Tamandua tetradactyla: one gene and its partners. The protein of the gene in region 3 interacts with the protein of the main gene of each other region in a biochemical or structural test. Links are inferred from orthologs where the notes say so. Each region holds a gene or a part of one and is shown on either strand. Other genes may lie near its edges. The genes, in order: GSN, vitamin D-binding protein-like and ACTA1.

Evidence for each region.
Region 1: the proteins of ACTA1 (region 3) and GSN are reported together in a solved structure, tested with the Homo sapiens proteins (3 studies listed by BioGRID and IntAct). The link is inferred for Tamandua tetradactyla from reciprocal best matches to the Homo sapiens genes ACTA1 and GSN.
Region 2: the proteins of ACTA1 (region 3) and vitamin D-binding protein-like are reported together in a solved structure, tested with the Homo sapiens proteins (2 studies listed by BioGRID and IntAct). The link is inferred for Tamandua tetradactyla from reciprocal best matches to the Homo sapiens genes ACTA1 and GC.

Annotation. Positions count from the first base shown.
Region 1 is NC_135328.1:36,066,589-36,073,677, forward strand, and holds the start of GSN (gelsolin), read right to left. Parts: upstream 3,014-7,089; 5' UTR 2,999-3,013; coding exon 2,855-2,998; intron 2,773-2,854; exon of another isoform or gene 2,758-2,772; coding exon of another isoform or gene 2,734-2,757; intron 1,417-2,733; coding exon 1,212-1,416; intron 504-1,211; coding exon 349-503; intron 1-348. UniProt on the Homo sapiens protein: Calcium-regulated, actin-modulating protein that binds to the plus (or barbed) ends of actin monomers or filaments, preventing monomer exchange (end-blocking or capping).
Region 2 is NC_135345.1:72,853,998-72,861,820, forward strand, and holds the start of vitamin D-binding protein-like, read right to left. Parts: upstream 3,002-7,823; 5' UTR 2,875-3,001; coding exon 2,817-2,874; intron 1-2,816. UniProt on the Homo sapiens protein: Involved in vitamin D transport and storage, scavenging of extracellular G-actin, enhancement of the chemotactic activity of C5 alpha for neutrophils in inflammation and macrophage activation.
Region 3 is NC_135328.1:153,789,702-153,796,954, forward strand, and holds the start of ACTA1 (actin, alpha skeletal muscle), read right to left. Parts: upstream 3,032-7,253; 5' UTR 2,899-3,031; intron 2,011-2,898; 5' UTR 1,999-2,010; coding exon 1,870-1,998; intron 1,779-1,869; coding exon 1,454-1,778; intron 1,087-1,453; coding exon 925-1,086; intron 813-924; coding exon 621-812; intron 517-620; coding exon 335-516; intron 219-334; coding exon 75-218; 3' UTR 1-74. UniProt on the Homo sapiens protein: Actins are highly conserved proteins that are involved in various types of cell motility and are ubiquitously expressed in all eukaryotic cells.

The DNA of each region.
Region 1 (7,089 bases), about 120 Mb from region 3:
GGGCCCTCAGCTAGCAGGGCCCTAACCTCAGGTTAGGAGCAGAACTGGGCTCAAAGCTCTTGGACCGGCAGGCCCTGGAGCTGGGAAAACAACCCTATGAAGTTATGGGAATTTTCTTCTCCCCATTTTAAGATAAGGAACCCAAGAGAAGAACCCAAGAGAGAAAGTATGATTTGTCCAAGGTCACACAGCTAGCCCTGGGCCAGGATTCAGACCCAGGACTGGACAGCTCTGGAGCCTGGGGTCTGACCCATCTGCAATCAAAGCCCAAAGACTAGCTGGTGACTAGCAGACATTCACCATCGGTGTCCCTGTCTCTGGCACCATGCAAGGGAGGGCCCAACCCACCTTGTACTTGAGGCCAGACTTGAAGTAACCGAGGAAGGTGGCCGACTCGAAGCCCTGGACCTCACGGTGCTGTATGGCGCGGCCATTCAGGTAGTCATCCAGCTGCACAGTGAAGATGGCGGCCGCCCCACTCTCATCCTGGCTGCACTCATTGCCTAGGGGGTGTTGGAACAGTATGACCCTGGCTTCCTGTAAGTGGTCCCAAACCCCCCGGGGGAGGGGAGAGTTCAGAACCCTAACACTGTCCTGGCCTGGCTGCTGAAGCTAGGAAAGCCCCTGCCTTCTGTGAGTTTGAGTTAATCCACCTGTGTAGTAGGGGAGATCTCTGTCTCTTCCCAGCTCTGAGGCTTTCCCTATACTCAACTCTCATACCAGACTCTTGATGCTCTACAGCATGAAGTTAGGACTGGGTGCATGAGTACGTTTCACAGATGAGCAAACTGAAACACTATGTGGGGGAATTACCTAACAGAGCAGCAGTAGGGACTCCAGGCTCCAGGTTCTGAAGGACTCTAGGCCAGGGAAGTAGCGGAAGGGGTCCAGGGTCTTGGAGTCACCCAAATTTCTGAGTGACAGAGAATTTCACTTAACCCTAACAACACTCCTATTAGGTAGGTGCAGTGCTATCATCATGCCCAGTTTAGAGACACTGAGTGGCTCACCAAAGGGCAGAGGGTGGGTAAGGGACAGAGCTGGGCTTTGAGCTCAAACAGGCTGGTTCTAGAGACTGGGTGTGTAACCCCAAGGTCTGGCACATACTTGGTACTCAGTAATCAGTTAGCTTCCTTGGGTTCTTCTCAGAGACCATACCTCAAGGTCTGTGCTTTACAGAGTAGGGGGAATGGGGCAGGGGAGGGTCTCACCCAGCCAGTAGTGGAGGTCGTACTGCAGATTCCCATTCCTCAGCTGCACTGTGTTCAGGACGACATAGGCATCACCTGTGAAGAAGTCTCCATAAAGGTTGCGGGGCACGGGCACCAGGTCAAACTTCTCCACTCGCCAGATCTGCAGGCCAGGCTCCTTGCCCGCCTTGAGGAACTCAGGGTGTTCCACCACCATGCTGCTGGGCTGAAGAAGAGACAAGGCAGAGCCTGAGCAGGAGCCAGGACAGTGCTCAGCAGACCCCGGGGCATGAGGGAGGGTGGTTTCCAGCACCAAGAGCTTCTCACTTGAGCCTCTGTCACTCCCCACCTCCCCTTCTAAGTCCACCTGTCTCGATGAGTTAGCAAGTAGGGTGGAGGGTTTGCTCCAAACCCTGTGCTTTGGCCAGTGTCTGTCTCCCCCAGCTCAGCTCCTGGTCCTTTCCACTGTGATGGGGGGACAGATGACTCCCCCTTTTCCCCCTCCCTTCTTATTGCCAGTTGGATGTGAAGGGACAGAGAGGTGAAGTGACTCTGTTAGGGACCCCCACCTAGGAGATGTCACAGAAGGAACTGTCCCAGGCTCCAAGAGCATGGGCTCTGGGACCATGGGGAGACCCCTCAGATGGCAACGGTAAATCTGGGGCCCCCAGGGGCTCTGTCTGCTCCCCTCCAGGATCCTCAGTGGCTCTTAGAACTGGAAGGGGCCCTCCGAGAGCTCACAATCCAATCCTGCCCCCCCACAGGTGGGGTAACTGAGGCCCAGTGAGGGTTGGGGACTGACCCAAGGTCACACAGCCTGTTTGCTTTTGCTTTGGGAGGGGAAGAGTTCCCATGACCCATCCATCCCCCTATAGACTGAGATAGCTGAGCCCAAGTGGCCTCCGCGCTGTCTGCCTCCTCCCTCCTGCCCCCCACAACCCACCCCCCAATTCCATTCCTTGGAAAAGGCGGAGAGGACGCAGCGGGGTCTGCAGGAGCCTGTTGGAGGGGGAAAGGCTGCCGGACATGCACAGGGCAAGAGAATGGGGACAGGAGGGTTAGGCTGTAGCCGGAGGCTAGAAGTCTACAGGCACAGGTCAGCTAGGACTGGAGGAGAGAGCTGGTGGGGGGAAACATCAAAGGAGAGATGCCAGAGAAACCAGAAATCAGACGGGACAGAGGAGAAATGAGAGAGAGAAGAGAATAAATAATAGTAATAATGATAGATAGAGGTGATGCCCTATAAGAAAGAGGAAGGGAATTTTGGAGAGGGAGAGAGAAATGAGAGGAGAAGGAGGAATCTGAGGAGGAAGAAGAAATCAGAAGAGGAAAGGAGAAAATCAGGAAAGAGGAAAAATGATGAAGACGGGAGGAGAAATTAGAAAAGGAAGCGAAGAAATCAGGCAGCGAAGAGAGAGGAGAAATCAGAGAGGGAGAGGGAAACGAAATCCGGCCAAGGTGAAGTTAGCCTGTAGGGAGCGAAACAGCCAGGGTCCACGAGGCTCCCACCCCCCTCCGCGGCGAAGCAGCAGGCAATACTTACAAAGCAACAAAACAGTTTTTCCATTCTAGACCTGAATTACTCCCCTTTTCCTAGCGCTGTATCTGCAAGAACTTACAACAGAGAGTTACTCCGGGAGCCCCCGGGCCCCCCGGGCACTCACCCGCGCCTGGGGCACCGGCCCCTGGGGCGCCCGCCCCTGAGACGCCCTGCGCGGCGCGGTGGCCCCACGGACCGGCGGTGACAGCGCGCACAGCGCCAGGACCAGCGCGCCGAGCAGCGCCGGCGCGGAGCAGCGCGGAGCCATAGCGGCGACGGCTGCAGAGGACCGAGTCGGCAGCCGCGGCCTCGGGGTCACCAGCCTTAAGTAGCCGCCCGCCCAGCCCGCCCAGCCCGCCCAAGCCGAGGACCGCCCCGCAGGGAGGTGCGGGGCAGGGCTAGGCTCCCGGGAGCCCGGGAGGGGCGGGGATCTGACCCGGATCTCAGAGACTTCGGGGTTCCCACCCGGACAGATCCAGCTAGCCGGGTGCGGCCGCCCTGCACATGGGCCCACACCGGGTCTGGTATACAGCGGTCGCTAACTCAGTGATCGCTGAATGGGTGCTAGTGCGAATGGAAGGGAGCGCAGCCTCGTTCTACTGTGTGACAAGCCCGCTCCCGTCTCCAGAAAATGGGATGATCTAACAACACTGGAAAGCTTTCCACTAACACATCATAACTGCCCGAACAGAGGGGATAACTGTCAGCCCCATTTTGCAGCTGAGGGAACAGCAGCAAGGAGGCTGAATAAGGAAATTGCAGCAACTGGTAAATGGTACAGACAGGATTTGAACCCAGACACTGTGACTGGGTGGAACCCCACCTGGGCAGCATGCACTGCTACCAGCTAGGATGAAACAAGTGAAAAAAGCAAGACTCAGAAACCAGAAGCCAACCCTCAGCTTCTGGGTTTGCTGGTTCTTTCTACTTTACTGAAGATGCCCTATCTTTCCCTCCTTCAAAAAAAAAAAAATTTATTGTTATCGAAACTTAAAGTCACATATTTGTACAAAGTTGTGCCCCATTTACCTCTGGCTAGAGACAAACACTTCTCCCTCCTTTAGCTAATGATTCGGTATTTACCTTTATGTCTCCAAATGATAAGTTCACTTGCTTAGAGGTTTTCTTAGATGCTACCTATTAACTACCCTTGGGGGTCAGAAAGTGTTGTGGGTTAGCAGTCCTATGCCCTCACCTAGGCCCACTTCCCACCTTCACCAGGCCCTCTCTTCTCCCTTCCCCTACTCTGCCACCCAAATTCTGATAGCTAAGTTCTTTGCATCTTAGACTCTCCCCACATCCCCAAGCAGCCTGGTGCAGTGACAGGAAAGGGAACTGGGGAGTCAGAGACCTGGGTATGGTTCTCACCTCCACCTCTCTTTGGCTGTGTGACAATGCCTAAATTAGTTCCTCTTTTTATGCCTCAGTCTTCTCATCTACTAAATGGGTCTAGTCAGTGCTAAGGATTAAAATGAGTCTGTGTGTGAAAATGGTCTGGCCTACACCTAGATAAATGGGAATTCCCCTCCCCGTCTCCCACAAGCTCCTCACCCATCCCAGCTCCTCCTCGAGTCCAGCTTCCATTAAATCAGGCTGAAATTTGTCCCTCACTGCCCACTACATCCTTCCACTTAAGGGGGAATGTGGGTCAGATAAAAGCCCCATAGTTCTATGACTTTTTTTATCTGTGGGTCAGATAAAAATCAGAGAGAGAAGACAATTCACACTGCAGGGAAAAAGGAAGGCTTCACTGAATAAACGACTGTTGACCTGGACCCTGAAGGACAGGGAGATTTCTGACATATGGAGATTGAGAAGAAAAGGCATTCAAGGGGAGGGAACAGTAGGGGCAAAGAGCAAGCAAATGCAGGCCACAGTCAGTCAATGAGTGGTCCCACCTGAAACAGGCGAAGCCAGAGAAGATGAGGCTGGAGGGGAAGGGGGCAGGGGTCCCAGGACCTTTACTGCCACACCCAAGCATCTGACCTTTAGCCTGGTGTCTGTGGGGGGGGCCACAGAGAGAAACCTCAGTTCTCCAGGGCTCAGCATCCTGGTATGCCAGCCTGGTCCTGCAGAGGCTGCAGTGGGCCAGCTCTGGCCTAAATTTAGAGAGCTCCTCTCTCCCCCCAGCCACTTGGAGGATTATAAAAATCCCACAGCTCTCATATGCTCTTGGTAGAAGCATAAACTGCATAGTAATTTGACTCTACCCACCCAAATGTAAACCACAATGCAACAACAGTTCCACTTCCTACAGAATGACTTACTGACAAACAAAAAGATATATAAACAAGGATGCTCACTGAAGCATTGTTTGAAGAAAACTGGAAAGGACCCAAGTGTCCTGGTTAAATAAATAATGAAGCTGTCGTACAATGGACCACTATGCCGCTGTGAAGAACGAATGGGTTAGATCTGATTGTGCCTGGCACATAGTAGGCACTCAACAAACACAGAAAGATCTGTAAGTGCAAAATGCAAATTGTACAATAATGTTTATGATATGACTCCTCCTCTTTTTTATAAAAAATGTCAAGGAAGGGTCAACACCAAACTGTTAAGGAAGGTTGCTTAAAAGTGATAAAGGGAGAGAATTTCACCCTTTAAACATTGCTGTGTTTGCCTAAGGTTTGGGGTAAACAGTGTGGGAAACTTGCAGGATGATGAAAATATTCTAACACTGAATTATGGTGATGACTGCACAACTGATTAAATCTACTAAAAGTCATAGAACTATATGCTTATAATGGGCAAAATTTCATGCTAAGTAAATTATACCTCAATTTTTTACACCCGTAGTAAGTATGTAGCCAGTGTGCGCTTTTTGAAATAATAAAGCACTATATGGAAACAAAACATTTGAAAAATATACGTTAAGTAATGCCTTTATGAGACCATCTTACACGTCCATGCAAGTAGGAAGAAGAAACTTCCTTGTCATCCCAATCCACAGAGTGAACCTGAGCCAGCAGCTGGCCCAGCTGAGCAGCCCCTTCTTGGGCAGTGTGGCCCCAGCCTGCCAGTTGGTGATTAACAGAGGGCTGCTGTGGCTTGGCCTTGGCCCCAGGGCCCCAGGGTCACTGACCCCGGAGGCAGGGTCACCAACCCCCAAGTTAATGATCATAAAGGCCCTGCAGCTTGGCCTGCACAGAGTTCTGGAGCCTGGGCCCTCAGCATCAGAGAACAGGGGAACAGGTCCCGGTCCCTGCCTCTGGGAGCCACAGCCTGGAGATCTCTGCTTACAGGGCAGCAGAGATGCTATGCTATGGAGGCTATGGTGGGGGAAATGTGATCTTACTTTGCTTCCTGCCTGGAAGAGGATTAAGAGGTTGGGGAGGGGGGATGGGGATCAGAGTATAAGAGAAAGGCCGCTACATGGAAAGGAAGGGACCCCAGTGCTAGGTCAGGCTCTGTCACTGACTCCCTATGTGGCTTTGGGCAATTCATAACCCTTTTCTGGGTCCCTGGGTCTCATGTACAACAGACTGTATGGGCCTCCATGCTGTGACTCTGTAAGTCACATTCCTAGCCCCAGTTCTCTGAGTATTAACTGTGCAACTGTAGTCAATACCTGCATGTTTCTGAGCCTTAGGGTTCTCATCTATGAAATGGGGGTGGCAGACCAAGTCACCTCTACAGACCCTTCCAAATCAGAAAGTTCAGGGCCTCAGACCTGCTGAAAGAAGCACAGGTTGTAACAAGCTCCCTCACCTCTGGGCCCAGCCATCTCTGGGAGAACACGGGAAAGAAAGGAGAGGGAGATTCAATACCAAAGCCAGTGCCTTTCATATTTTCCTCCCAGCATTAGTGCTCCCATTTAACAGACAGGAAAACTGAGGTTCAGGATCACTCAGCTGGAAAGAGGCATTGCTGAGATGCAAGCCTGATTGGTTCCAGAGCCCAGGCTTGGTCTGGGAAGATCAATAGGAGATAGGAGGAAGCAGGGGCTCCTGGAACCATCCAGCCTGGGTAGGGAACAGCAGCGCCATTTCCAGGTAAAGGGTTGCAGTTGCTAAACCAGTCAAGCTCAAGACAAGCCTGGTGGCCAGGATCTCTGAGTGGCCATCCCCACCCAACCTCCCAGCCCGGAGCAGGAGCCTGTACCAGCAAAACCCTCTAGCCCTCTGCTAACAGAAGTACCCGAGATATAGGTATGTCCTAGGAAGATCCCCAGGCTGTGGCCTCTGGGTGGAGGATGGACCGTGGCTCTGTATCACTCCTGGGTACTTAGGTCTGGACTTGGGAAGCAACCCGGCTCTGCTTCCAGCTCACTAGTGTCTCCTAGCCCCTATCCATATCTGGACCTCAGAGAACCTCTTGATCTCTAACCTTGGGTGTGCCCATGTCCAGCCTAAAATT
Region 2 (7,823 bases), on a different chromosome or scaffold from region 3:
CCTTTTTATCACATTGATCTCAAATCCTGTATAAATTCCTAATTTTGTAATATGTAAGTTTAGCTGACAGGATACGGAGATGTCTTTATCTGGGAAAATAGAGAGAGTATCTATCCTTGATTATTTCACTCTGGCATTCTGTACAGCTATACTCCTGGATCAAACTTAGGACAATTTTGTTGTTAAATTATTACTGATAAAGAGGCCACTTGTAAAACAGAAACAGAGTGATTCAGTGGTGGTTTAGGGGATTGGAATAACCTCATTGTCTAGGGCTGTTTTAACAAGAAAGTGGGAGACAGAAAAATATAGCTCACCCACCCACTCAAAGGCGACTTTCTTTCTTCTTGCTGTTTGTTATCAAGTCCAGTAAATATATACGTATGCTGGAAACGAAAAGCTTAAAGCTGAAAGGTAAATGTTCACAAAATAATATTGTTCTTATCAAGAGTCCTGACAAACTGTAATGGTTTATTTTCTGTTGGCATTTTTTTTGGTAATTGCGCAGCTGTCTTAGTAATCTGTGCTGCTTTAGGGGTGGGGAGCTGGAAGAGGGAAAGACATGATTTAGTAGATTAGTGTTACATCCATTTCAGCCACAGAGAAAGAAGCCAAATGCAGGAAACTGCGCTTTTTTTCAAGATGAGTCTTAAAAATATATACTTTGAAATACACTTTTGGAAAAGTGTTCTAGAAAAAAACGGTTGATGGTCAGCTCTTTAGAACTGTAACTTTCTATCGTAGAAAGTACTATAACCCTAATCAATTTTCCACTATCCAAGGCTCCCCTGAACATAATTCCTGAACTTCTCTAATACATGTATTTCATAGCTTTCAGGTGGCTGCTCTGTGGCAAAGTAAAAGAATATGAGCATTGCTGCCAGGAGAGAACACACTTATCTTCCAGTTAATTGCTGACTTGGTCAGATGGAGCTTCATTGCTCTTTGGGACATGGTCAGGTGTTACAGAATAGAAGACCAGTGTCTCAGGTATTGGATACTTATTAATTACAAATTATTTTATATGTCTCAGGGGATATATGACCTATACATCTGGGTAATCTGACTGAAGTTCATTGTGAAATTCAGAATTTCAAAGAAGCAGAACTGAATTTCTTAGCATCCATTTCACCAGGGTCTGAGGAACTGCTGAAAGATATCCAAATTGAAGTTGTAGAATATTTTGTTAATTTTCAAAAGACACTGTAATTTCTTGAGGTGAGGCTAATGCACACTTACTGAGTCAGCAGTGTAAAATGATGAATCATGTTCCAGGTTATGGCCTCCACGTTTAATTCCAAGGACTAGCCATTTTTGGAATTTCTGTATTTAAAAATCCTGATCTCAAAGTGTTTCAGTAAGATTTTTCGGATTCAGATATGCCCCAGGGAAACCTTGGACAAAAACTGAGCTTTCCAGGTTTCTCAGGACTTATTCATACCTCACTATATCTCAGAAATTCATACCTCACTATATCTCAGAAATTCCTCATAGTCTTACTTAAGGATTTGTAGATGAGGAAAAGAAAATTTAAAATCATTTGAATGGCCAAAATAAGAACAAGAAAAAGTGATTACAAAAAAGAATTGGAAAAAATGAGGAGTAAGGTTGTTCAGGACCTATTAATGAGAAATAATTCTTGGGATACATAATATTTATTCCATTGGTTAAACACATTACTGGTATGAATACTCAGTATGACTTGGGTGAGACACTCAGCATCAAATGAAAATTTTAATTTTACAAAGCATGATGAATGCAGATTCCCTTACAAACATTAAAAGATAAAACAGAATGGAAAATCCAAAGCTACAAAATTTAAAAGTTGTGTACTTTACATAATTTCCATACATATCACTTTAAAAAGCTTTTAAACATTGTCCAAAGATGAAGCCAACATTTGAAGAATAATTTCAATGAAAAACAATTATCTTATTTTTTGTTGTGTTTCTTAGTTATAGAAAATTCTAATTTATTTGGAAGTGTTTTAGAAACTGTAATGCTTTTTTCAAGGACTGCATGTATAAGATTCTTCAAAGAGGATAAAAAAATAGAGCTTTAGTTCACTTCATGCATCATCGACACAGTTATTATACTTTTAATGGCAATAAATATTTGAAAAATGCTCAGTATTGGATCACAGTCTCCCTTTGTATTATCTTTTTTTTTTTTTTTTTTTTTTTTTTTTTTTTTTTTAAAGGAAAGACAGAGAGAAGGAAGGAAGGATAGAAGGAAGGAAGAGAGGAAGAAAGGGAAACATCTTTTAAACATTTTCTTGTTTTTTATTGTATTTTGTTTCTCCGTTTTCGTTACATGGGCTGGGGCCGGGAATCGAACCGAGGTCCTTCGGCATAGCAGGCAAGCACTTTGCCCGCTGAGCCACCGCGGCCCGCCCTGTATTATCTTTTAACATTTAAAAATTGAAAATTGGTCAGGGCGGGCCATGGTGGCTCAGCAGCCAGAGACCTGGGTTGGATTCCCAGTGCCTGCCCATGGAAAAAAAAAAAAAAGATTGTTCAAACTTTAACCCATTCTTTTTCAGTGCTTGTTTACCAAATAAAGGAGAAGGGATAATTAACAAACTTTATACTTCCTTTTTCTCTTTCATGAGATTCTTATCCTGATTTTCTTTTCTCTTCCAATTCAATGCCATATGGCACAGCTTAACTCAGATCAAGCCCTCTATAATCCTTCTCTCTCTCCTCAGCATATTCACCAATTCTTCTGTCTGTCAGCTTTTACGTAATTTTTTTATGTTAACACAATATTGGACTAAGAAAAGCTCTGATAACTGATCATGATACTGGAGGTCTTACCTCTCTCTATAGCATGCCCAAAGCCTACAGCAAGCAGGAGAACCAGAAGCCCCTTCATTTTCCTGCTGGTGAGTCCTGAAGCACTGCCTGACTCCTGTGGGGTTACCGTGTGAAAGACAGCAGCAAAGAGCAATTAGTTTTCTCTTACTAGGATTCCCAACTCTGAGCTAATCAATTATTAATCTTTACACAGAAGCAAGGGGCAGTCATCCTTGGCCCACAAGAGATAAAATAATATCATCAATCAAGGCAAACAGACACCCTGGGTATAATGTAATGGAAAATTCAGCAGATTTTAATCATTAACTTTGTTGTACTCTGAAAGAACCAGAACATACATAGATTATTTTCCACAGCTTCTTTTGACTGAAATTTTTTAAAGTAATAGTAAGTGGTACATTTGTTCCTCTTTATAGGGTTATGTGTCTTCTATGGGCATTCCCTGCCCTTCTCATGTATAAATAGAAAATTGGAGGTTATCTCTTTCTCTTTCTTTCTCTTTGTCTTTCTCTTTCTCTCTGTCTCTTTCACTTTGTTTAAACTTTCTACAAATAAGTGTTATTTTATTTAAAACCAGATGTTTTAAGCAATAAGGGGAAAAAAGATGAGTGAGAAGTCAATTCAACATAATTCCTCAAATCTGTAATATTAATGTTACAAAACAATTTTACTGGCGATAATAGGAAAACATTTTATATTTATATTCCACATTATACTTTTTGAAGCACTAACATATGTATTGCCTAACATAACCCTTGAAGTAAGGCAAATAGTAACTGGAGAAAATAAATAACTTTCCCTGAATCACAAAAGTTAGTGGCAAATCTTGGACTCCTAGTACCTAGTCTAAACCTGTTTTTACTGGTACTATACAACCAGTGTGTTTTAGGATAATATAACTTAAAAGCTCATGGTGTCCTTGCAGGACTTGGAATCTAACGTCTGTACTTTACAGAAGAGGAAACTGAGCCCCAAGTAAAGTCTCTGACTTGCCTAGAGAGACACAGGTAATCATCATTCATCAGAATCAGGTCAGCTGCTTTCTTGTCCAGCTCTCTTTTCAGGAAGCAGGGTCAAGTAAGGGTTAGGTATACAGGGACTAGAATCAGGCCTACCTAAGTGCAAATCCCTGTTCAGCTCTTACTGGTTGTGGAATCTTGGGAAATTTATTTTACCTCTCTAAGCCTCACTTTACACATATGCAAAGTGATGATAACTTTTAATGCCTGTATCACAGACACAGATTGTTGTGAATTTAATTGAGATAATCCATGCACAGAGCTAACTGTACATCTAAGTCAGGGTGACTTCACTGATGTTACCTATTATTTTTCTAGTTGTTGCCATTTCTCCGCACTTATTCTCCAAATTTATAATGGTATCTGAGGAGCTCATTGGAACTACTGAGGCCTGCAAAGCAATGAAAGATTCAAAAGCCAGCCCTGTGTCCTAGGTTTAGAACCATCAGAGATCAGTGATCTAGAATTCCACTATTAATTCAGGAGCCAAAGAGTAACTGCATAAGAAGTTTCCATTAAAATCTTAAACAGCCTTAAGCAGTTACATTTTCAGAGATCCTCCATTTATATTGAAAATACTTGGGATGTTAGGTTCAAAAAGTACAATCAAGTTTGTAGAAAAATGATAGCTAAATAGATCAAAGCAAAGCTATCTCCATGAGGCCTATAGAAATCCATATGGTAAAAGAGATTAGAAGTTCCTATAAGCATTGCTATAGGCAATATGAGAAGACAGGTTTCCTGTTCAAAGATCTATTATACCTCCTTAGTGCTTACTGAAAATCTTCTTAACTTTTTTTTCCCTTGATCCTAACTCTTACTTGATTTTGCAAGTTAATTTTTAAAAATGTGTTTTATGCTTACAGCAAATTATTTGGAAACGAAGCTCTAAATGAGTGCAAAAAAGTTTCTAAAAGTATTAAGAATGCCAGAATGCAGAAAGAAGAACTAATATGTTAGTATATTTCTATAGCTTCCATTTTTATTTAAGATAATTTGGTTTATATACTTTTGTATCTTTTTAAAATTTAGCATTATTGTATTGTCATTTTCTGATGATCAGTTCATTCAAAGATACACTTGGATCGTTTCCCATGATTTTTGCTATAGTTTGACCAGGCTGTTATGTAATTTTTTAAAAAATTATAACTTTATCTCTGCTTTTGCAATAACATCTTTCACTTTTGTTTAATGATAAACTACATGTGGCAAGAATTGCAACATCTCATTCAGGTGTTCTCTTGAGAAATCTCTACAAAAACTCCCAAATCTATTCTCTTGGCTGAGTTTCATTTTAAGTGAAAATTGGCACTAACATGCTAGTAGCTAAATAGATTAATCTTTTCTCAGTCTTATTTATGTAACTCCCTGTAAGCTTTCAAATGTTGATTGCTTATGGCAATTTTAAAACTAAGAAGAAATAATCATCAGTGGCCTAGATGAGAAGCATCTTGTGCCATATGATTCCCACAGTAAGTCAGATGGGGAAAAAAATGGATGAAAAACATCAACTTCTAATAGCCTCTGTTATAGCAGCAGCTACAGCAATTCAGAAATTTATTCCAGAAATAGTTTTAAAAAGAGATAACCATTGAAGATTTAACTATGCCGTGGAATTGAATAGGAGCTGTTTTGCCCATAAAGAACTGAATTTGAAATAGTCTCTCTCTTTTTTTTCCATCTCAACATAGGTTTCAGAGGAATTATAACCCTAAACAAGGTTAGTTCTAGGCAAAATTGTGAAGCAGAAATCCATCTTTAGCTCTCTCCCCAATCATATTTTTCTAATTTTGGTATCTCTCAGTTTTCACCCTCCTTACCAAACCAATATCTTTAACATTTTCATTGTGCTACAGGATGGTTAAACACAGTACTCCAACAGAAATGATTTTTTTAAATGATTTCATTTGTCAGATTATTTTCTTCATCCAGATTCTCTTTATGATTACACTTTATTCTCTATTTTCCACTGACTGAGGAAATTGAGGTTAGTAACTTGTGTAATATCCTTAGAGTTGACATGAAGAGAGGAGCTGAGGACAATCCAAATTTCAGGGTATTTGTGTAGCCCAGCCATTTTCTATTCTTGACATCATAAGAAATTTCAATATTCTTAAAATAAATATCCCTTTTTGCTTAAGTTTATTTAAGTTGAATTTCTGTCTCTTGCAATTAAAAGCATCCTAACTAACATGGCTTTAGATCATTTTACCCTCTGTTGCCATCATTAGTTATCTGAGATACAAGTATAATTCATTATATTGTGCTTCACAAATTCTGCATCTTTTATAAATTAAAAGTTTGTGGCAACTCTGTGACAAGCAAGTTTACTGGTGCTATTTTTCCAACAGCACATGCTCACTTTGTGTCTCTGTGTCACATTTTGGGAATTCTTGCAGTATTTCAGACTTCTTCAATATTGTTATCTCTGTGATGGTAATTTGTGATTCGTGATCTTTAATATTACTATAGCAATTGTTTTGTGGTCCCATGACATGATCTTATAAGACAACAAACTTAATCCATAAATGTGTATCTTCTGACTGCTCCTCTGACTGGCCATTCCTCCAATCTCTTTACCTCTCCTCAGGCTCCCTATTCCTTGAGACACAACAGTATTGAAATTAGGCTAGTTAATAATCCTATAATGGCTTTTAAATATTCAAGTAAAAAAAAAGAGTCATATATCTCTCATTTTAAATAAAAAACTAGAAATGATTAAGTGTAATGTTTTAGTTTCCTATGCTTTACCATAAAATAGGTTGGCTAAAGCAGTGGAAATTTATTTGTTTATGGTTAGAGTCCAAGAAAATGTCCAAATCAAGGCATCATCAAGGTGACAATTTCTTCCCCAAAACAGGCTACCAGCAATTCTTGACTCCTCTAGCACATGGCAAGCCACATGGTGGCATCTGTTGATCTCTTCCTTCTTCTCTGGATTTCATTGCTTTCAGGTTCATGTGTCCATGGCTTTCTCTTTCACTCTATATTCATTATGTTTATAAAAGGACTCTAGTAATAGGATCAAGACCTATCTTAAATGAGTTGAGTCACACCTTATCTAAAATAGTCTTGTTAAATGGTCCTACCTATAATGCACACTCACAAAAATGGATTAAATTTAAGAACACATTTTTCTGCAGTACCTACAGCTTCAAACCACCACATTTAGTGAAGAAGTCATGTTAAAAGCTGAGATAGGCCTCTTGTACCATGTAGCCAAATTTTGAAGGCAAGGGAAAAGGTTTTGAAGGAAATCAAAATAGCTACTCCGGTGAATACATAAATGATAAGAAAGTGAAATAGACTGCTGATATGGAGAAAGTTTTAATGGTCTGGGTAGAAGATCAAACCAGTCACAACTTCCCTTAAACCAAAATCTTGTCCAGAACAAAGCCCTAATTCTCTTCAAATCTAGGAAGAATGAGAGAGATAAGGAAGCTGCAGAAGAAAAGTTGGAAGTTAGCAGATGTCTAGTTCATGACGTTTAAGGAAAAAAAGCTGTCTCCATAGCATAAAAGTACAAGGTGAAGAAACAAAGCTGATGTAGAAGCTGCAGCAAGTAATCCAGAACATGTAGCTTAGATAATTGCCAAAGGTGTCTACACTAAACAACAGATTTTCAATGTAGACAAAAGAGCCTTCTGCTGGAAGAAGATACCATCCATGGTTTTCAAGGCTAAAGACAAGTCAACTGGTTCAAAGCTTCATAGTACAGTTTGACTTTCTTATTAGAGGTTAATGCAGCTGGTCACTTTAAGTTGAAGCCAGTGCTCACTTACCATTAGGAGAATCCTAGGGCCTTTAAGAATCATGCTAAATCTACTCTGCCTGTGCTCTATAAATGGAACAACAAAACCTGAATGACAGCACATCTGTTTGCAACATACTTTACTGAATATTTTAAGCCCACTGTTGAGATCAGCTGAATGGAAAAAGAAAAGATTTCTTTCAAAATATTACTGCTAATTGACAATGTACCTGGCCT
Region 3 (7,253 bases):
TTCAGCCACCTGAAACTTTTAACAGACTTGTCATCCTGAGGAGAATTAGCACACGGGAGATGTGCGTGTTGTGTTTAGAAGCATTTGCGGTGGACGATGGAGGGGCCGGCCTCGTCGTACTCCTGCTTGGTGATCCACATCTGCTGGAAGGTGGACAGGGAGGCCAGGATGGAGCCGCCGATCCAGACCGAGTACTTGCGCTCTGGGGGGGCAATGATCTGAAAGACAAGGGCGTGTGCGGTGAGCCGAGGAAGCACGCAGCCGGCGGGGGGCGGGCGCAGGGGGCCTGCTGGGGAGAACTGCGTGGTTTGGAAGCCTCGCGCCCGCCGCGCACCTTGATCTTCATGGTGCTGGGAGCCAGAGCTGTGATCTCCTTCTGCATGCGGTCGGCGATACCCGGGTACATGGTGGTGCCACCGGACATGACATTGTTGGCGTAAAGGTCCTTCCTGATGTCGATATCGCACTTCATGATGCTGTTGTAAGTGGTCTCATGGATGCCGGCGGACTCCATGCCTGGGGGCGGCGGGAGGAAAAGCGTGAGGAAGAGCACCGCGCCGAGAGGGCGGGAGCGGAGAGGACCCGGCCCGGGCTGGCCCGGGCCGGCAGGGGGCCCTCACCGATGAAGGAAGGCTGGAAGAGCGTCTCCGGGCAGCGGAAACGCTCGTTGCCGATGGTGATGACCTGCCCGTCGGGCAGCTCGTAGCTCTTCTCCAGGGAGGAGGAAGAGGCGGCTGTAGCCATCTCGTTCTCGAAATCCAGGGCCACGTAGCACAGCTTCTCCTTGATGTCGCGCACGATCTCGCGTTCAGCTGCGGGGGGCAGGGGCGGGGGCAGGAGGTGACCCCTTGGCGGAGGGTCGCCGCGTCTTCACACACACACGGGTCCTCCCCACCCCTCGAAGGTGCCCCGGGCGCCGCGTACCTGTGGTCACGAAGGAATAGCCACGCTCGGTGAGGATTTTCATCAGGTAGTCCGTGAGGTCGCGCCCGGCCAGGTCCAAGCGCATGATGGCGTGAGGCAGGGCGTAGCCCTCATAGATGGGCACGTTGTGGGTGACACCGTCGCCGGAGTCGAGCACGATGCCTGTGCGCAGTGGGAGGGAAGTGGAGTAAGGAGCAGGAAGTGAGACCCGAATCCCGCGCGGGGGATGGGCTGGGGGTGGGTGGGTGGGGTTGAGGTTTGGGCAGGGAGGGGGGCCTTTGGTGTCTCGGGGCTGGGGGAGCCTCTAGGTGCCCCTACACCCGGCTCTGGGGCCCCTCCGACCGGAGCACGCACGCCCTGGGTGCTTTAGACTGGGGGTGGAAAGGAAGGGGCGGGTGCAGAGGTCTCCACTTGGCCGGTGCGTGGGCTGCGGGCAGCGCAGCTGTATTTGGATGAGGGGGTGGGTGGGAGGGGAGGCACGGGGCGTGGGGAGGAGCCCCCACCCCACCACCAGCCGGCGCGCACTCACCGGTGGTACGGCCGGAAGCGTAGAGCGACAGCACGGCCTGGATGGCCACGTACATGGCCGGCACGTTGAAGGTCTCAAACATGATCTGAGTCATCTTCTCGCGGTTGGCCTTGGGGTTGAGGGGGGCCTCGGTGAGCAGGGTGGGGTGCTCCTCGGGAGCCACTCGGAGCTCATTGTAGAAGGTGTGGTGCCAGATCTTCTCCATGTCGTCCCAGTTGGTGATGATGCCGTGCTCGATGGGGTACTTCAGGGTCAGGATACCTCGCTTGCTCTGAGCCTCGTCGCCCACGTAGGAGTCTTTCTGACCCATACCCACCATGACGCCCTGCGGAACCGAGAACCCACCGACCGGTTAAGGCTGCTCACCCGGCTGCGGCGGCGCCGGGCTGCGCTGGGACCAGGGTGGGGAGCCTGACCTGGTGACGCGGGCGGCCCACGATGGATGGGAACACGGCCCTAGGGGCGTCGTCGCCGGCGAAGCCGGCTTTCACCAGACCGGAGCCATTGTCGCACACGAGGGCGGTGGTCTCGTCTTCGTCGCACATGGTGACTGGTTTCTGCAAGGACAGGGAGATCTTTGGGACGCACGGCACGTCGGCTTAGTATTTGGTGGCGCGGAGGTGAGACTCGGCCCGGCCAGAGCACCCTCCCTTCCCCCGGATCCCAGGGACACCACTCAGCCCCGAACTGCGCGCATCCCGCCCCGGAAGAGGCCAAAAGGGCCCCCACCGGATTTTCGCCCTCGGGGGGCTCAGGGCTGCGTTTTGCCAGGGTATTGGCCCAGGTGTGTCGAGACCACACCGAGAATTCCTCCATCCCGGGCACCCAGGTGGGAAATTGTGTCCTGAGACCTCCCCGTCTTCCCAAGAAACAGCCGGCTCCAAGAGCAAGTTGCTAGCCGCCCAACCTCCCCTTGCCTCAGTTGCCTCATCTGTCAAGCAAAAGATTTAAGGCTGCCTGTTAGATGAATGTGAGGAAGAGTGGAGAGGACCATGTAAAGGCGCTTTGGCCCTTTGTCCAGGGAGGGATGGCCTGTTATGGGCATCCACGATATTCCAGACTCAGGAAGGGATCCTTTCCACTCTGTGGGCAAACCCAGAGCAGAGCTACCCTGTTGCCCTTGGCTGTGGCACTTGGTTGGGAGAGACATGCCCTGGGGACGACTAAGGTAGAACCTTTTATCTCTAGCTCGGCACAGCCTAAAAGCCAGGTACAGCGGCCCAAAGAGGCTGACCATAAATTTGGAGGGGTTCCAAAGGCCATTTGATTATCTAATTGACTTTTCTTTAAAGCGCGTGTGGCTCTAGGGAGGAGGTGCAGCCTGCAGGGCAGGCGCAGGCCTCGGACTCAGGTGAGCCGGCAGTCTTCCGCCCGGGAATCACCGCGCTCTCCTGGGTGGCAGCCCGTCCCCGCCCCCTGCGGCTCCCTCCCCACCCCCGCCCTACCTGGGCGGGTGGCTACAACTGCTGCTCTCCGGCTCGGGCCCTGGGAGGAAGCGAGGCTTCTCTCGCGCTGTCCGCTGCGGTGGCCGGGCTGGGCCTGCTCAGGTTTTATATAGCCCGCGGGCACTCCCCCCGCGCCGCCCGCCGGGCCTGCCCGCAGGAATGTCGCTCCCCTTCTCGAGCCATATTTGGGTGTTGGGCACGAAAGCCCCCTCCCCCAGCCCGGTTCGCGGCCTGGGTCCCCGCCCGGGTCCCCGGCGCTGACCAAAGAAGGAGCGGCCTGGCCCAGGCCCAGGTAACGCGGGCCGGGCCGTATATGGAGTGTCTCCCTGGCGGGTCTGCCCCTCCCGACCCGGCTGAGTTGCCCGCTGGAGGGGATGGGGTGGAGTGAGGGTCACCCAGTGCGCCCGCGGGTGCCTGTGTGAGTCTGCGCCTCCCGGAGTTGCACCTGTCCGAAAGGCCTCCCCACTCCTGTCCACTCTGGTCCTATCAGGCGCCCCGGAGGTGGACTGACTACCTGCCTCCCACATTTCACCCTTTCTTCTGCTCCTTTATTCAGATCCCCAAAGCCTCATATGCTGACACCGAGAGGAGGGCGCGGTGTCGAAAAGGTGGGGCTGGGAGGACAGGAGACTGGAAAATGCCTCTCCAGCACCTGTGTACTCCATTTCTCCCTTCATCCACCCACCCCCCCACACCGGTCTCCCCAAATCCAGAGGACAGATTCGAGTCGCCCCCCTCCCCTATGGCGGAGCGGGACAGCAGCGCCCGGAGGCGTGCAGCTGTTGCTGGACGGACAACTGGCGGCGGGGAGGCGAGGGCGGAGCTGCGTGTAGGCGGCGCCGGGGCTCCCGGGGACAGGCCCAGTCGGGTGATTCTGGCAGTCGCCGGGGGCGCAAAATCCGGAGCTGTCCGCCTCGCTAAGGGGCAGAACACTAGCGTAGTCCCAAGGGGGGTGAATTCGGGAGGGTGGGGTGTGCCCTTCCTCCAGCACTGACCGACCCCAGTCTGAGGGTGGGTTCAACTGCGGGCCACCTTCCACCCTCTGCTTGGCAACTCTCTTGGGGCTGAAAGACAAGAGTCACAACCCACGATCCGCCAGGTCTGGAAGTGGTAAAGATAGGTGGTGAGGTGTTCTTACTAACTCTAAACTCTAACTTTGAATTCTTGGATAGTACTTTTTCCCCCCTTCTGCAAAGGCTGAACAAATTCAGCTTTATATTTAGAGGATGATACCTTGGCTGAGGCCAGGCTGCTCTCCAGTCCACTTTGGAGAGTCACCATATACTGGAGACTGCTGAAGTGGGTTCTATTTATACCACTGACAAATGGGGATATGCTTTTTAAATTTTCTAGAAGGATATGGGTCTACTTATGGTAAGGTGTGTGGAGGTCAGAGCAGGTTGTCCAGTTGGTGTCTGTCTCACATGTTTCGTCCTTCCCTCACTGGAACAAGGACAGTTCTAACCTTGCTATAGAAGGCACAGGAGAAACAATTTTCTATGATGAACTCAGTGACATGCTTTAAGGGGGTACATCAGTGATCTGGTGCCAGCCAAAATGGAATCATTCATTTTTCTGATGTGCTTAAGTGTTCCCAAAATAGTTGCATTTCACATTTGGTGGTGGAACTCAGCAACTGGGACAGGTGTGGATTCTCTTAAGAGGGATATAAAAGCATATGTAAACCTCCTCTGTAACCCACACCACAATAGCTCTTCCTAAAAATGATCAAAATTAATTTTAAAAAAAAAAGGAGCTTGGTTAGAATTGGTCAATGTAGTAAATATAGTCAGTGGTTAGAAGCTCCTGTAGTTTCATATTTAACTTTTCCAATTATTGTGGAGTTAGTGAATAATTGGTAGAAACACATTTCATTTTTCATGCCTTGTGTCTTACTGTGTCAGTGGGTAGTGGAAACACCAGTAAAAATAACCTGGCAAATGCACTGTATGTACTATTTGGGGTAATAGCTTTCATTTTGGTCTTTAAGGTAGGAAGAAATGTGCTCTGACTCACCAGATACTAAGGATTTGTTGATGTTTTAAAGAAGGATAGGTTGTCAATAGTTTTCAAAACTCTTCATCAGTACAACTCTGACCTCCCCTGTAAGCAAGATTTTCTAAGCTCAGGGTATATTAGACACAAATATACAATAAGAACCAACTATGAATAAAACATTCACAAGCTAATGGACATCTGCTAGTACAGCAAACCTTGGGGAGATGGACTCTGATAATGCCAATTCAGACGATTGCTGTCTGCCCCAACATTACCGATGCTGGCTTAAGTAGTCTCTAATGGAGCACCACAAGGCCGCTCTCAATTCCATTCTGGTCTTGTTGAATTCTCATTGGCTTAGGGAACAGAGCTATTGAGTATGTGGAAAAGCTGCATCTCCATACATGTACACTTTTGGGGAACACACCAGTGCTCTGCTCTTGTCTGAGTAAGCTGGTTACTGCCTGCATACCCTTTTGAGAACTATCACCAACTAAAGGTCAGCCATGTAGAGTATGCTTGACAGAGAGCTTGTGCTTCTAAATTTTCAGGTGCAGCCTCAGCTCTTGATAATCTGACAGGGTGCTTGTGCTATAGCTAAGCTGGTATAGTCACACCTCCCTTCCCTTCAACATTCTCCCTCAATTCCTTATCTATCTGTACTCCAATGTTGCTCGGTCTAAGCCTTCTCTTGTAGTGTTTACCAATTTAAATATAAATTTACAAAAGTTTATAGTATGCTTTCATGTTACTTTAATCAATCCTTTTAACTATCTTAAGGTAAATAAAGTAGACACTATTCATTCCAGTTTTAAAAATAAGAAAACTGAGGCAAAATGAGTTAAATAACTCATGCCCAAGGATCCTACAGCCAGTAAGTGGATGAGCCAGAGCTTGAACCGAAGACTTGTGATGGTAGCTCAGCCCTTCCACTAGGAGTGGTCAGGGGAGGGCAGGGGCAGTTTTCTGTCTTATTTCACTCTTCCATACTACTTGGGACAGAGTTTTGGAGCCCTAACATTCTCAAGGGATCTTTTCCAATGAAGAGCCAGAAGCCATCTTGAAATGAAAAGTCATAGTTTCACCAGCAACTATAATCTATCATCTCAAAAAGAACAGTGAGGAGGGCTGACTGTCTCAACTACACGAAACATCCTAGGTATCAGGTAGATAAAGGAAAAAAACAAACTCATTCTCGACAAAAGTATACATCTAAAAATTTAGGTAACTCATGGCAGTCAGAAAGGGAGGACTGGAATTTCCTACTTTTACCCTTCACCTGAAGCTGATGGTTTTCTTCACTTTAGCCTTTGCTCTGACTTTGGCCAGCTCTAAAGGCCTGATGGTTCAAATGGAAGAGTCTTGCCCCCTACCCTCACCCCCATCCAACCATCTTTACACACAGTATAATGTATTGGTTAAAGGCTTGGACTTTGGAGTCAAGCAGACCTGGGTTACCTCCCCTTCTCGCTAATCAGGTGGCCTTGCGCATTTGACCTCAACATTCACACCTGAGGATGCCATCTCCTCCAAAGGACTGATTGGAGGATTAAAACTTGGTGAGTGCCTGTGACATGAGAAACCTGCAATAAACAGTAGCCTTTCTTCCAATGACTAAGCATTGGAAGAGGTGCAAGGGGTGAAGTGTTAGAAGAGGTGAGCAAAGGATATTAAAAGTTATTAGAATGGTACATAATTGTCATCACAAAGGTACATAACTGTCATCACAAAACTAAACAAGGAGAAGCAATGAAATTTTACAGGTATTTGTAGAGCATAATGATTTTTGTAGAACAATCTGCTTATTCTAGCATTCGTTAAAATGGCAAACAAGAACACCACCACAACCCAAGTAAGAGATGGAAAGAGACTGAGAGTTATTAGATAAATTCTGGTACAGACAAATGGTAGTGTCACAGAGTCACTAAAATATCATATCTTAAAGATCCCTTTAAGACATTCATTCTTAAAGGAGGTGATATTGCCTCCAACAGCAAAACTTGCCTCTTAGGGGGTGGAAAGAATCATAGATGTTACAATGGTTTGTGGCCCTCCAAAGGATATGGTACATGACTACAGTGTAAAAATTTCACTGAAGTAGTGGATTAGGAAAAAACTCTAAAAAGGCTCTTTAGGGGGATTTAAAAAAGGTTGAGAAACACTGAATTAAGGATACACAAAAATATTATCTCTCACATGAAAAAAAAGGAAGTTACAATATGAAATGTATGTATAGTCCAAAATGTTTTACATTGTATTCCAAAATGTTAACTGAAGTTATTTTTCTCATTGGTAGGATTACAAGGGTTTATTTTCTTCCACATTTTTAATGTGGTTTTCTCATTTTCTATAGTATT